Linked DNA regions of Saccharomyces cerevisiae S288C. The gene in region 1 interacts genetically with each later gene. Each region holds a gene or a part of one and is shown on either strand. Other genes may lie near its edges. The genes, in order: PUT1, PUT2, PRO3 and BAT2.

Evidence for each region.
Region 2: of PUT1 (region 1) and PUT2, changing one suppresses a phenotype caused by changing the other (phenotypic suppression), as found in Saccharomyces cerevisiae (one study listed by BioGRID).
Region 3: mutations in PUT1 (region 1) and PRO3 impair growth when combined (synthetic growth defect), as found in Saccharomyces cerevisiae (one study listed by BioGRID).
Region 4: mutations in PUT1 (region 1) and BAT2 are lethal when combined (synthetic lethality), as found in Saccharomyces cerevisiae (one study listed by BioGRID).

The regions. Positions count from the first base shown.
Region 1 is NC_001144.5:423,393-427,310, reverse strand, and holds PUT1 (proline dehydrogenase), read right to left. Parts: upstream 2,126-3,918; coding exon 695-2,125; downstream 1-694. Other genes in the region: RRN5 (Rrn5p), read right to left, coding at 2,537-3,628; SLS1 (Sls1p), read left to right, coding at 3,838-3,918.
Region 2 is NC_001140.6:180,179-184,291, reverse strand, and holds PUT2 (1-pyrroline-5-carboxylate dehydrogenase), read right to left. Parts: upstream 2,316-4,113; coding exon 588-2,315; downstream 1-587. Other genes in the region: RRF1 (Rrf1p), read right to left, coding at 1-226; BRL1 (Brl1p), read right to left, coding at 2,532-3,947.
Region 3 is NC_001137.3:199,249-202,706, forward strand, and holds PRO3 (pyrroline-5-carboxylate reductase), read left to right. Parts: upstream 1-1,827; coding exon 1,828-2,688; downstream 2,689-3,458. Other genes in the region: SRB4 (Srb4p), read left to right, coding at 1-1,627; carnitine O-acetyltransferase YAT2, read left to right, coding at 2,944-3,458.
Region 4 is NC_001142.9:703,939-707,509, reverse strand, and holds BAT2 (branched-chain-amino-acid transaminase BAT2), read right to left. Parts: upstream 1,767-3,571; coding exon 636-1,766; downstream 1-635. Other genes in the region: YJR149W (putative nitronate monooxygenase), read right to left, coding at 1-350; HMS2 (Hms2p), read right to left, coding at 2,238-3,314; YJR146W (uncharacterized protein), read right to left, coding at 3,272-3,571. UniProt on the Saccharomyces cerevisiae protein: Cytoplasmic isozyme of branched-chain-amino-acid aminotransferase, which catalyzes the first reaction in the catabolism of the essential branched chain amino acids (BCAAs) leucine, isoleucine, and valine.

The DNA.
Region 1 (3,918 bases):
TTTGAATTTTGATATAGCTTTATCAAAGATTTCCGTTTGAACTAGCTATTCATCATCCATCAGATATAAGTGAAAAAAAGCTTCTTTAATAGAAGCTTAAAAAAATTCTCCGCGACGGGGAATTGAACCCCGATCTGGCACGCGACAAGCGCCCATTCTGACCATTAAACTATCACGGATAAGAAACACTGGAAAACTATGTATCCCAAAATCCCATACGTTGGTTTACTAACACTACTAGATGTATTATTCATAGGTACCCCAAAATCCTTACAAAGAGACAAGGCTGAGTGTATCAAGCAAAACCGCTTTAAATCTGATGTTCTGCGCTTTCTCCCTTTGATTAGATTCAGGTCTTATGTAGTTTATAGAAGATGAGTACCTTTCTTGTGCATAAGAGTTGATAATAAGCCTGACGACGACAAGCCACTTTCCTACCGATTTAGGATTGGCAAAACATCTGGTACTATTCGAACCCATAATCAATAGGAAGAAAGCTTTACCAACAGATTGTTATTTAAGTGGTTCAAGTATATTAACTCTTGATATCCGTGCGTTTACTTTACTATTAGTGTTATTATCATTACTTATATATAATATGTATAACTAGAACATCAGAATTATGTATGCATACTTTTTTTTTTTTTTGGTTTTTTGGTTTGTCTTTGAAATTGGAGTATATATTATAGTCCTCTCATAGGCCTACTCTTTTTGGAATCGACTTTGCTATGGCCTTGATTAATGGCCAGCCATTATCAGATCTCACAGCATCCCCGTTTTCTTGCAATCTTCTCAAAAGATAATCTTTAGTTTCCAATGGTGGGCCCCATGGGACATACTTGATTATGTTTTTAGCGCCATGGTTGGTAATTAGGTCATAGGTAACATTATCTGCCATACCTAGTAATTGCCCCAACACAATGTTCGATTTGGCATAAGAGTTGTCTTGGGTAGATTTTAGCAAATTAGTAACGAGCATTTGGGATTGGTAATTATGAGAGGCGACAACCAAGTGACCAAAATAAGAATCCTCGCCATTGATGATTAAATCATTGACAACTTGAGTGATGATACGATCGTAATTTTCGTCAGTGCCCGTTTTATCGCCAAAGATAATTTGGTTACGGTTTTTTTCAGAATGAATATAAGCACCACGAACCAGTTTCAGCCCAAGCTTATAGCCGTTTTCTTGGGCCAGCTTCAATTCGTGCAAAATATGGTCACCAGAGTCCCTTAGGTACAACTGCCAAGTACCGACACATGATATCAGTTTAGATGAAGTGGGATTGAATTTTTGAAATAAGATTCTCTGTAATTCGTAAACACCATTCTCCTGCAAATCATACTTCTCAGCGTCAATAGTGGAAACCATAAATGGGGCCTTTCTTTCAGGGTACTTCTTTAACAAAGATTGATTTAGTTCAAAAATCTCTTTTGTAATCTTAGAGCAGTTCTCGATCAGCTGATCCCTTTGAGCCTTGTAGGCGGGATTACTGAAATTGTACAGAACCTCGTGAGGGTTATCGACCAAAGCAGAGGGTTTTAGAGCGATATAACCTGGAGCAATGTCATTGATTGGCTTAGATTCCAGCTGGCCAATAATATTGGGCAGTAGGATGTTGTGGACAGAGCTGATTGTTTCCTTGACAATTTGGTCTACTGGAGTACTGGACAAACTCTTTGTACCTTCGGAATTTTCAATAGTTAATGAAAGCATCATGTTCGATATACCTCTCTTCTGCAGACGTTTGCCGCATTCGATGACCTCTTTAAAGTTCTCACCGCCACAGTATAAAGAAGAGACGAAGAATTTTATTACTGGGATGGGGATGTAAGGGAACAACTTAATGATCGTGTTCAGGAAGAAGCTGTTCAAGGTCGCAATACCGATGAATCCCAGTTGGAATAGTTCCTTCTTGGGAAGTGTCTGTAGAAAATTGATTGAGTTAGGAGGTGCCATCACACTATTGCCGTTGGCATTGGCGGCCGGAGTTTCAACCATCAGATTAGCAGCCGTGTTAGAGTGTGTCGGAGTCTTTGACACATAGGACCTCTTTATCAAAGGAAAGCATAGAGAGGGTATGCGCGATTTAGTAACTAATAAGGAGCTTTTGGAAGCTATCATTTCTAGCGTGCGTTAGTGTTATTACTATGTAGCGATGTTTATGATATATAAAAGACAAAAGAGAAGAGCTGCTACGGACTTGTGGAGTTTGTGTTCGGTTCCCAGCAAGCTTTATATAAGAAGGCAGAAGGGTGAGAAAATGGGCTTAGTTCATGCGATTTCTCCTGATAATAGACGATACTAAGTACAATAATGAGATGATAAGGGAAATAGCGCCACTCATCAATTGTTTATCATTCATTTTTCTTGTGTAGATATGCTTTTCGGGATGCGAAACCCGAGGCGTGGTAACCGGAAAGCCATTGCCGAAAGGAAATTCCAATCAAAAAAGCGGTGGAGCTAACGGAGGGAATAAGCGAAAGAATAATGAAAACAAAAATTATGTCCCTGCGCGATTTTTCGCATTGTGTCTCATTTGGATAACCATTTTAGCAACTGATTTTCATGTAATGCTGATCGGAACAAGTCCGCTTCGTCGATTTCATCCCTTTCTGCCTCGCTTTCACCTTCACTTGCAGTGTTATCTTGTTCTTGATTTTCTTGATTTTCTTGATTTTCTTGATTTTCGTCTTGATGGACTGGGGGCGCATCCCGTCTGGACAACTGGCTTTGTAGAAACAGATGTGCCATCTCCTTGGTGCGGAACAGTTTGCCCTCTCGCGGATAGTCTAGTTCCCATTTGCGCAGTGTCAAAACAATGCGCCTTGGAAGCACGTGTAGGTCACGTGATCGGGCTTCTGTGCATAGTGCACGCTCAACTTGCCGGCGAGTTACCACCGTCGGTAGCGACTTGTGTCCTCGAGATTCGGCCGCCCTGGCGCTGACGCTGCGGGAAGCCATACCCGCAAGGGCCGTGCACCACAGCAATGTACGTGTGTAGCGACTTACGCAGCGCTCCAAAGTCTGCGTCGCGCTGCGCGATAGCGGCAGCGCGTGGCGGGGCAAGGGTCTTATCTCCGCGATACGGCTGTGCGAGTAGATGGCCACCCACCTGCGTTTCCAGCTTTCATAATCGATAAGGCCCTCGCAGTGTCCTTCCTCATCGGCAACCTCGGCTGCGCCTTCCGTGATGGCCATCACTGTCTCGCTCAGTTTTGTCTCCAGGGCAACCCACTCAGCGCTCATTTCGTACGCAATGGGCGCTCCGTCGTCACCCGCCTTACGCGATCTCGCGCTCGCACTCGCTCTCCTTAACAACCTGTAATAACCTAGAATCTCCATGGCGCTCTTCCGAGGCAACAATGAGCGCCACTCGTCTACACGGTGGATACTATAGCGTGAAAGGCACCAGAAAAAGGTATTCTTCTCCTCGCTGTCCCAGTCTACACCAACGCTAGAGATTTCTACACCAGCATTGGCGGTACCCGCCTTTTCATGGATGCTCTTTACATGTACTTTGGAAGGATGGAACTCAGCTGGGCGGCCTGACGCGGCACCATTGTAGAATTCCTCGACCTCCTTATTGTACAATTCGACGTACTTCCGCAATTGTTGGTGCTCCATCCTAGGTGACCGTCGTATGCGCTGTGCTTTCCTAGCTCTTCTTCCACTTCTGTTTCTCTATACTTTTTTTTTTGTTTTTCACCTCGCCCGCCTTTTCTTATTTCAGTGAACTGAAAAAAAAAAAAAAAGTTATGTATCTTTAATGTAATAAAACTAGTACATAATATATACGGAGCTTGAAGGCACTGGAGAAAATATAGAGTAAGCATATGTGGAAATTCAACAAAAAGCTCGCCCGTCTTACTTACCGTCTTTATTCAAGCTCAGGCCCAAGCTCGCCCCTTCATGGG
Region 2 (4,113 bases), on another chromosome or scaffold:
CCTGTTTTATCTCATTCATTTTCTGTTTTTGAATTTCTAAAGTTTTTTTGAATTGAGTTTCTGCCTTTTTCAGCAGTTCATTCACGTCAATTTCATCTTCTTCGACTTTCTCAGTAGGGGTAGAACTTTTTTTCTTCAAAATTATGAAAGATTGACTAAAAGAACGATTAAATAGACGAGGAACGGTGACTGGTCTACAATTTAATCTAGCTGTGGTTAAAATCATTATTTCTTGCTGTTATTTTTCTTGTCAGGGACTGCTCGCCAAAGTTTCCATCTTTAAGCTTACGAATGGACGTATTTAATAAATTGATGTTCTGTTTCCGGACGGGTCCTTATGCCAAAAACAGAATGAATATGCGGCGAATAAATAGCAACGTGAATAAGTAAGTCATGACAGAATATAGAACGGGAATTTGGACGGTTGGTTCAATGAATATTTTTAAACTATTTACCTAGATAAATTAAAATTGTAAAACTAAAAAAACCTAATGAAGTAATCAAAACCCTTTTTTCGATAATCTAACATTTACATGAGTTGATGGATGAAGTGACTGCATTCGCGGTTCTATTCCACAAAAATTTTTTTATTCATAATTCGATGGATATTTGAAATCAGTCAACTCGTAGAAGTTCTCCTTTGTGTTTCTAATACTGACAAATCTGCTTAAAATGTTTGGACCACCAGCCTTATCGTCGGTACCACTCATTCTTGCGCCACCAAACCATTGCTGAGAAACAACGGCACCAGTACACTTATCATTTATGTAGAAATTTCCTGCGCTAAACTTCAACTTCTCATCTGCGTATTCAATTGCTTTACGATCTTTGGCAAAAATAGCACCAGTTAAGGCGTATTGACTCGTATTATCGATAATATCACAGATTTCATTAAATTCAGTATCTGGATACTCGTAAACAGTTAATATAGGGCCAAAAAATTCTGTTGACATATATGGATGATCTGGTCTCTTGGCTTTTATGACTGTGGGTCCGACAAACCAACCTTGGCTTTTATCGTATTGTCCACCGTAAAGAATTTCCAACTCGGGGTCTTTCTTTGCATCTTCAATTACTTTAACTAATTTGTCGAAACTTTGTTCATGGATGACAGGACCCATAAATCCCCGCAAATTCCCACCAGAAATTGGACTTGCGGATGTGTTCATTGGGACAACATTCTGTGACTGCAATATGCCAAACATATCGGATAAGAATTCTTCACTTTTTGACTCTGGAAGATATAACCTGGAAGCGGCAGAGCACTTTTGGCCTTGGAACTCGAAAGTGCCTCTAATAGTAGAGAGTACTGCATGTGATATATTTGCACTTGGGTGAACTAGATGGAAATTTTTACCACCTGTCTCACCAATAATACGGGGGTAATCTCTGTACTTCCCTTCAACAACGCCACTTTGTATTTTGCCATACAAACTCTTAAAGACATTTGTAGAACCGGTAAAATGCAAGGCACCAAAATCTTTATCAGCTAATACCTGGTCAGTAACTTGAACTGGATCACCTGGAATGAAATTTATGACACCCTTTGGCAATCCCGCTTCTTCCAAAACAGTCATCAATAAGTAATTTGAAAGGGCAGCGGTTTGTGAAGGTTTCCAGACAACTGTATTACCCATCAAAGCTGGAGCCCCAATCAAGTTTGCAGCAATAGCAGTAAAGTTGAATGGTGAAACAGCATACACAAATCCCTCTAAAGGTCTGTATTCAGCTTTATTCCAAGTACCATCCGCTGACTCTACGGGTTGTTGAGCATACAAGTCTGATGCATACTTGACATAGTATCTAAAAAAGTCAGATAATTCCGTGATACAGTCGATTTCTGCCTGATACACATTTTTTCCCTGGCCCAGCATTGTAGCAGCTAACATGTCATAACGATACTTGGTGGAAATTAAGTCAGCGGCTTTCAAAAAAATTGCAGATCTGTCATAAAACGGTAGATTGTACCAATCCTTTTTGGCATCCTTGGCGGCTTTTACAGCATTCATGACATCTTTTTCCGTGGCTTGTGTGACGTTTGCCAGTACTTGTTGATGGTTCGCAGGGTTAGTCTGCGGGAAAAGCGCTCTTTCATTATTGTCATATATCCTTTCCCCATTGATGACCAGTGGCACTTCTAAAGAAGAACTTTTGAATTTCATCAAGGAAGCCCTCAGTAAGTCCCAGTCTTTTAAGTCTATGTTTCTAAATGGCTTAACAGGTTCATTTCTTATGTGCTTGGGGGGCTTGATGTGTCCCAGTTGTGAGAAAGATCTCTTGAAGTATATAGATTTGAGGCACCTTGCTGATAGCATAATTCCTGTGAATTTGAATTGGCCTTCTATACAATATAGATTATATTAACTTGTTTGTATTATTACATATTTTCCATGGATATACTTCTGGAGTAAAGTCAGCTGTCCTGTCACCCTTATATAGTAGGCCTATCCAATTTTTGTCGGCTTCGGAGTTGGCTTCCCGAGATGTCCGATGGCGTAGATAAGCATTGTTACTGTCCCAGATAGCACAATCTATTGCTTAAGTAGGTGTGAGTCCTCTCCAGATGCTGTCATAGATGAGTGTGTTTCTTCTGATGTCGGCGATTTCGGTGAAGATGGCAAGGGATATGTTTTGATGCCATTGCCATAGTAGCTCTTGGCTCTTACAAAACCCAGTAAGAAATTCGAACTGAAACACCAAGTTATCACACCACAAAAAATAACAAATAGTGTTTTCCAGTTTAATGGATCTATGAATGAGTTGATAATGTCTCCGAACAATTTTGCGCTCAACGTTGATCTTGCACGGAAAAAGATATCGTTATTTCTGTCCATACACTGTTTCCATATAGCACATTGTTCGCCCAGAGCCGGCAAGCCAGGCGTCTGGTTACAACGATTTGTGAGGTACTGCTCTTGACAAATTCTGGATTCGTACTGCAGTTCATGTTTTCTTTGTTCCCATGTGGATTTCAAGTCCTTTTGAAGCGCTATGATAAATGAGAGTATAAAACTAAAAATCACTACTGTAGTGATCGCATTGAGAAATAACTGTAAATATGACATTAGGGCATATGACGCTCTTGATGCCGGATGTGAATTGGGTGACCATGGTTTAGGCAACTTGAAAGCTTCATTTTGGTCGTAAAATTCATCTATTTTATTGTGATTTGGTTTAGTAAGAGAATAAGTTTTAATGCCGTCCTTATCTGAATAGAAGTAGTTGTGTGTATTGAATGAAACCTGAATTGGTTGATATTTTGATCTTGATCTTAATTCCCTCTTGATTATTTCCGAATCGAACGCATTTGCGTACTGGCTTGACTTGTGGTTGCCAAGTGATGATTTGATCTCATCTTCGACTTCTTCATTTCTGATTATGTCTTCACCCTCTGCGTTGTTATTCGAACTTTCATTGTCATCTTGATTGGCCGATGGTGGTAATGGCACAACACCTTCAACTTTAGTAGCTGCGGCCACACCTAAATCGGTCGGTGATAATAATGCCTTTATGACAGTTGAACGATGCGGTGAAACAATGTTCTCGACCTCTTCTACACTTTGGTCTTGGCTTTCATTCTTCTCTTGCTTTTGTCTTTCTTCTGGGGTAGCCTCGATTTCTTCCACCACGGCATTCTCAGTCGCTTCAGTATGAGTTTCGATTGGCTCGTTATTATATTCTTCTTCAAAACTTGTATCATCAACCTCATCTATTTCCATTCGGTCATCTTCTTCCTCATCAGCTTTAGCAGCACTAAAATCCAATGTATTTCGCAGAGGTGATGGGCTCGAGGGAAAATGGGGCATAAATCGGTTGATAAGCTGTGGTGACAAAGTTGGCCCCTGCTTAGATATACTTAGGTCGGAGAGGCCTCCTAACTCCTCGTCAACGTGTTCCATTCCGCTAGTGAAACTGTCTCTTATGCTCAAATTTTCAAAACTTTCCATATGGAAGATCCTATATAACGTTATAATACAACTACTCAATAAGCAAGTATTGCGATAAACAAGCGACTATTTGATGAGATGCTATACCTTTGATGAAATTAAGGGCCCAACTTGCTTTTGTATCTTCTATTGTCTTAGGGAATTTTGCTCTATTTCATCTAAAGTT
Region 3 (3,458 bases), on another chromosome or scaffold:
TGATGGCGCTGATGAGAATGTACAAATTGGAGAAGATTTCATGGAAGTGGATTATGAAGATAAAGATAATCCAGTGGATTCACGAAATGAAACAGACCACAAAACGAATGAAAATGGCGAGACCGATGATAATATTGAAACGGTAATGACACAGGAACAGTTTGTTAAAAGAAGGAGGGATATGCTAGAGCATATAAATCTGGCCATGAACGAATCGTCTTTGGCTTTGGAATTCGTTTCTTTGCTACTGTCGAGTGTTAAAGAGTCTACAGGTATGTCATCAATGTCACCATTTCTTAGGAAAGTTGTTAAACCTTCTAGTTTAAACAGTGATAAAATTCCATATGTTGCACCTACAAAAAAAGAATATATCGAGTTGGATATATTGAATAAGGGATGGAAGTTACAAAGTTTAAACGAATCTAAAGATCTCCTACGCGCAAGTTTTAATAAACTGAGTTCCATATTACAGAACGAACATGACTATTGGAATAAGATAATGCAGAGTATTAGCAACAAGGATGTTATTTTTAAGATTAGGGACAGGACTAGTGGTCAAAAGCTGTTGGCAATTAAGTATGGTTACGAAGACTCTGGATCTACCTATAAGCATGACAGAGGTATTGCTAATATAAGGAATAATATAGAATCACAAAATTTGGATTTGATACCCCACAGTAGTTCAGTGTTCAAAGGCACTGATTTCGTACATTCAGTAAAGAAATTCTTAAGGGTTCGTATCTTCACAAAAATCGAATCAGAAGATGATTACATATTGAGTGGCGAAAGTGTGATGGATAGGGATAGTGAAAGTGAAGAAGCTGAAACGAAAGATATCAGAAAGCAAATCCAACTTTTGAAAAAGATCATTTTTGAAAAAGAACTGATGTACCAAATAAAGAAAGAATGCGCTTTGTTGATTTCCTATGGTGTCAGTATTGAAAACGAAAACAAGGTAATAATTGAACTACCTAACGAAAAATTTGAAATCGAGTTGTTGTCCCTTGACGATGACTCCATTGTCAATCATGAACAAGACTTACCAAAAATCAACGACAAGAGAGCAAATTTAATGCTTGTTATGTTGAGACTATTATTAGTCGTTATATTCAAGAAAACATTACGATCGAGAATAAGCTCACCCCACGGACTGATCAATTTGAATGTTGACGATGATATCTTAATAATACGTCCCATTCTTGGTAAAGTTCGGTTTGCTAATTACAAACTGTTACTAAAAAAAATCATAAAGGATTACGTGCTCGATATAGTTCCTGGCTCAAGTATAACAGAAACGGAAGTTGAGAGAGAACAACCTCAAGAAAATAAAAACATTGATGATGAAAATATAACTAAATTAAATAAAGAGATCCGTGCCTTCGATAAACTATTGAATATACCTAGACGTGAACTCAAAATAAATCTACCATTAACTGAGCACAAAAGCCCTAATCTAAGTTTAATGCTCGAAAGTCCTAACTATTGTAACGCACTCATTCACATCAAGTTTTCAGCTGGTACGGAAGCCAACGCAGTGTCCTTTGACACAACATTTTCTGATTTTAAAGAAGTAGAGGACTTCCTACATTTTATTGTCGCTGAGTACATCCAGCAAAAGAAGGTGTAATATCCTGAGTCACTCCTTAAACCTACATACATTGCCATAGAATGCCATTTATTACTATATAAAGTCGCATACGTACAAAAGGACAAGATCTTATCTTCGAAAACAAGAATATGAAGGATTTAATAACATTGCCAGGTTAAGAACGGTGTAACAACAATAGAAGTAACACAACACCAATAGCAAACAAACCAACTACAGATATGACTTACACATTGGCAATTTTAGGCTGCGGTGTTATGGGCCAAGCACTTCTTTCCGCCATTTATAATGCTCCAAAGGCGGCTGATGAAACTGCTGCTGCATTTTACCCTTCCAAAATTATCACATGTAACCATGATGAACCTAGTGCACAACAAGTTACCGATCTAGTTGAGACATTCGACGAATCTCCTAACGGTATTAAAGTCGAAAGCACTTACGGTCACAACGTGAGCGCTGTCGAAGAAGCTTCTGTAGTTCTTCTTGGTACCAAGCCATTTTTGGCCGAAGAAGTGTTGAATGGTGTGAAGAGCGTCATTGGGGGAAAGCTACTTATTTCCCTGGCTGCTGGCTGGACAATTGACCAATTGAGTCAATACACTAGCACTGTTTGCCGTGTTATGACGAACACACCTGCCAAGTACGGATATGGTTGTGCGGTGGTGTCCTACTCAGCTGATGTTTCCAAAGAGCAAAAGCCACTGGTCAACGAATTGATTAGCCAAGTTGGTAAATACGTTGAGCTTCCAGAAAAGAACATGGATGCTGCTACGGCTTTAGTCGGTTCAGGCCCCGCTTTTGTTCTCTTGATGTTAGAATCCTTGATGGAGAGTGGGTTGAAATTGGGAATCCCATTACAAGAGAGTAAGGAGTGTGCCATGAAAGTTCTAGAAGGAACAGTGAAGATGGTTGAGAAAAGCGGTGCTCATCCATCCGTTTTAAAGCATCAAGTTTGCACACCAGGTGGTACAACTATTGCCGGGTTGTGCGTAATGGAAGAAAAGGGCGTCAAGAGCGGTATTATCAATGGTGTTGAAGAGGCAGCCCGTGTTGCGTCACAATTAGGCCAAAAGAAGAAATAGATTGCTTTGCGTGAAATGTATGTATGTTCGCTTTGTAGCCGTATATTATTTTTTTATTACTGACCTTGCATTTTTTCGTCATTTTCCCGTCGGTCCGATAATGAATCATCACGATGAATGACTACCCCATAATAATGACACTAATTGGAGCGTATAAAAGAAAAAAATTATATAAATGTGTTTGTAATGAGTAAGAGCAATTGATTCATTTGAAATGAAAATCAAAAATCAAAATTAAAATAAAACTAAGCAACCATGTCAAGCGGCAGTACTATTGTTTCGTCTGACAAGTCGGGGCGAACATTTAAGCATGAGGAAGAACTACCCAAGTTACCATTACCTAAACTCTGTGACACTTTGCAGCGTCTGAAGGAGAGTTTAGAGCCATTGTATTATGCTGATGGTTACTATCAACATCCTTTAGATCCAGAACAAATTGAGAAGCTGTCATCCATAATAAGAGATTTTGAAGAGAATCCCGTAAGTGAGAAGCTGCAATCTAAACTACAGAGCTACCATGACACTAGGGATTGCTACCTTGATGAATTACACTTAGACATCAATAACCAGACCTCCACTAGGGAGATTCAGGACGATGTCCTACCCAGGAATCCCTTCTTGGTTCTCGCAGATGACGCTTTGCCAAACATCACTCAAGCTGATAGGTCAGCCGTCCTAGTGCACTCTGCGGCCAGGTTTATTTCTGCTTTGAAACAAGATTTGTTGCCACCAGATATCAATGCCACCAATGGCAAACCACTGTCAATGGC
Region 4 (3,571 bases), on another chromosome or scaffold:
GTTTGAAGATCGGTCGGTTTATCAACGATATCATGGCAAAAAAAGTTTAGGTTGAGATTGCCCTCTAAAGATTCATCGGCTACTTGATCTCTGAATTGTGAAACCATCAGTTTAAGCTTTTCAATATCATTGACCTTTCTGAAGTCTAAGTGGGATAGGGGTAGTGAAGCTATGGCGCCCGCAATACAAGCCTTAGCGGCCATTTCAATAGTCGTGACCCCCGCCATAGGGGCCTGGATGATAGGGTATCTCAAGTTTAAACATTTTTGGAAAGATCTGCTCATATCTTCTCTTTTATCCACCGACATTACGGAAACGTCTTGAAATATTAGTTGGTTTAAAAAGTACATGAATTGTCTTGAGTTGCTTCTAAGGTATGTATGGGCCCTTTTCTATCCGCGCAAAAGATGTCCTTGATACCGATAGGCCAGCACTAGATGACAAGAAAAAAAACGAAAGGATAATTGCAGGTTTCGACATACATTTTTTATCAGATCACTGCAAAATCCAGGAATTCATATATACAATGTCAAAGGGTATGTTATATTCTGACATGACCCCTTAACTCAGTAGAAAAAACGCTCTAGTTTTATTCTTTTTAACTTTTAATTACTTTACGTAGCAATAGCGATACTTCAGTTCAAATCAGTAACAACCCTTGACCAATTGCCATGCTCAGTCTCGCCATATTGGATTCCATTAATCCATTGTGCAACTTCTTTGGCCAATGGACCGGTTTGTTCGCCGGGCAACAACGGAATATTAATTTGTTCGCCTTTCCAGCCGATTTCCTTAATGGGAGAAACAATCGCAGCAGTACCAGAACCAAAGGCTTCAAGTAGTTCACCGTTCTTGGATCTCTCAGTAACTTCGCCTATAGTGAAGTAGCGTTCACTAATGGTCCATTCACTTGGTTCGAGTCTTTCTTTAGCAAGATTTAAAATGGAATCCCTAGTAACACCTTCCAAAATGGTACCGTCTAGTGGAGCAGTAACTAGTTCCTTCTTGCCCGTTTTACTATCTTTAAACACGAAAAAAGCATTCATGGTGCCGACTTCAGTAATGTTGTTATTTGGACCAAATAGCCATAAATTTTGTTGGTAACCCCTTGAAGCAGCTTGCAATTGTGGCAGGACGCAGGGGGCGTAGTTTGCACCTAGTTTCTTGTCACCACAGCCTCCTGGCCAAGCTCTTGTGGCATAATCAGTGGCTTCCAGTCTGACCGCCTTAAATCCAGTTTTGTAATAAGGACCCACAGGGCAGCAAATGACATATAGCAAGGCTCTATCAGGCGTGGAAACCCCTAAACCGGCCGTAGTGCCGATTAATGTAGGCCTGATATATAAAGAGTAACCTTTTCCTTCAGGAACTAAGCACTTATCTTGCTGGATCAGTTTCCCAATTAGGGTAATCAACTCTTCTGGGTCGAACGTTGGCAAACAGATTCTCTGAGCAGACTTATTCATGCGCTTCATATTCATATCTGGACGAAACATTGTAATTTTGTTGTCCACCGTTCTGTAAGCCTTCATCCCTTCGAATAGCTCAAAAGCATAATGGAAAACCACCGCGGAAGGGTCTAAAGACAGATTTTGATAAGGTTTAATCTCTGGGGTACCCCACCCTTTTTCAGCTGTCCATTCCGCAGTTAACATGTGGTCCGTGAAGCTCTTGCCAAACACTAACTCACTGTTCGGTTTTGGCTTAGATGCATGTTGTGTGGTAGTTATCTTAACTTTGGAGGCGTCTAGGGGTGCCAAGGTCATATCGTTCTTAAAACTCGTGGAGATGCTTTCCCTTAAATTTCTAAAATTTTAGTAGTTAGTCTGTTTTTATTAAGGATTTCTCAAAGGAATGAATTTTTTCCCAGGAAATAGTCGAATATCTTGTAAGCTTATATTAGTTATACTGTCAGCTCATTTCGGATCTCCTCTCACTCACGTACGGCTCTTAATTTCTACCTATTATTTCCGTTTTTGTTGACAGAAAAACGGACATAGAAGAACGACACCAAAAAGAAAAAGAGTCGGATCTACAGATTAGATAACAAGAGGTGTCAGAGAGGGAAAAGAAGCTAAATTAAGTGTCACCCGAAAGCGGAAAAAGAACGCCGTTTGCAAGAATGGTTCCGGGGCCAATGGAACATTAAACTTTGGTGTAGTGCGGTCACAGAAAAAAAAAATCGTACACGTATATAGTGGTATGCTAGGTCGTGAATGACCCTCAGAGGCAGGTTTTCACGTTCGAAGATGTTTGGAAAGGAGCGTTATAAGTTGTGTTGGGGTGAAGGGGCTAACTAGGATGTCACTGAACCCCAACTGCAAAAAATGGTGGAAATAATAGCGAGAGTAGTTGGAGGGAGCAATGCTGGTATCTTGAGGGGAGACGGGTCTGTTAATAATGGCTATTACAGGAAAGCTTGGGAGTAGGTTTCTCAGTCTCTTGAAGTAGATGAGATGTTCTTGTTGCATGTTGGGCGACACGGTGACGAAAAGAAGGTCGTATGCCTCGGGATGCAACTGCGGGTGCCACTGAGTGGCCGTATCCAAAGAGCAGTTCATAAATTCGAACACGCCGGCGAAGCGCATCAAAGGTGTTTCTGACAATTCGGATGCGTTTGGTATTAGTAACAGCAACGAGTAGCGTTTGGGGCGCTTTGGTTGGCGTTGCTGGTGTTGTAGACAAGAGTCCGGGCATACAACCTTTTTGATGGCTTCAAAATTTTCTTGAAGGAAGTTAGCGGTTTGGTAGGCGTGAAACTGGTGGTAGGAGATTGTCTGTAAGCTGGCGTTAATTTCCCTTATAATACGCAGACTATCTGCGTTTGTCGACTTAAGCTCATCAAGATTGCCCTGAAGCCTGTCAACATTTTTCACTAATTTCTCGAAGGAAGGCTTGCCGATGGCCTTGCTTAGAATGGAGTTCACTTTGAAAGGGTCCCAGTGAAAAGTACACTGCTTATTCATATTATTGACGGCGGCGACATTGGGAGTGGCGGCAGACTGATGAGCTTTAACCAGTGAGAGGCTATTAATGTTATCTTTTTGAAAATGAATGTTGGAAAACTCCACGCAGTCCGGGCGGCCCGCCTTCTGGAAGTTATATTTGCTCAATTGCTTAACGAATGCTGCAAAGGTGTGAATACCAAAAAATCGCTCTAGGATGACTTTGGTGAACTGGTCCGGATTCCAAATGACGAGCTTGCTGCCATCAGTCGACCATTGTATTATGTTCGAGTAAGCGTTCCCCTGCAGCAGGTGGTAGAGTTTGCTTACAAAGACATCAGGCTGCTCCATCCTCGATGTTGCATCCATGTCTGACGTGCGTCGCTACACGAAAGAGACACACTTGGCGACTGCCCTGACTGGCAATATATACAGTCCGCAAATGTCGCGGACTGATGCGTCCACTTACTCTTCCTATATACCACCTGGGTGAAGAGGAGAAGTGAGCCCGTTCTGGAGATATATGTCCAAATATTTGCAGATCCAGTTTTGTCATTATAATGAGATGCCTTTTGGGCGACAAAGTTCGGGTAAAAGAAGGACGGGTCCAGGAAGGCCGTGGCCAC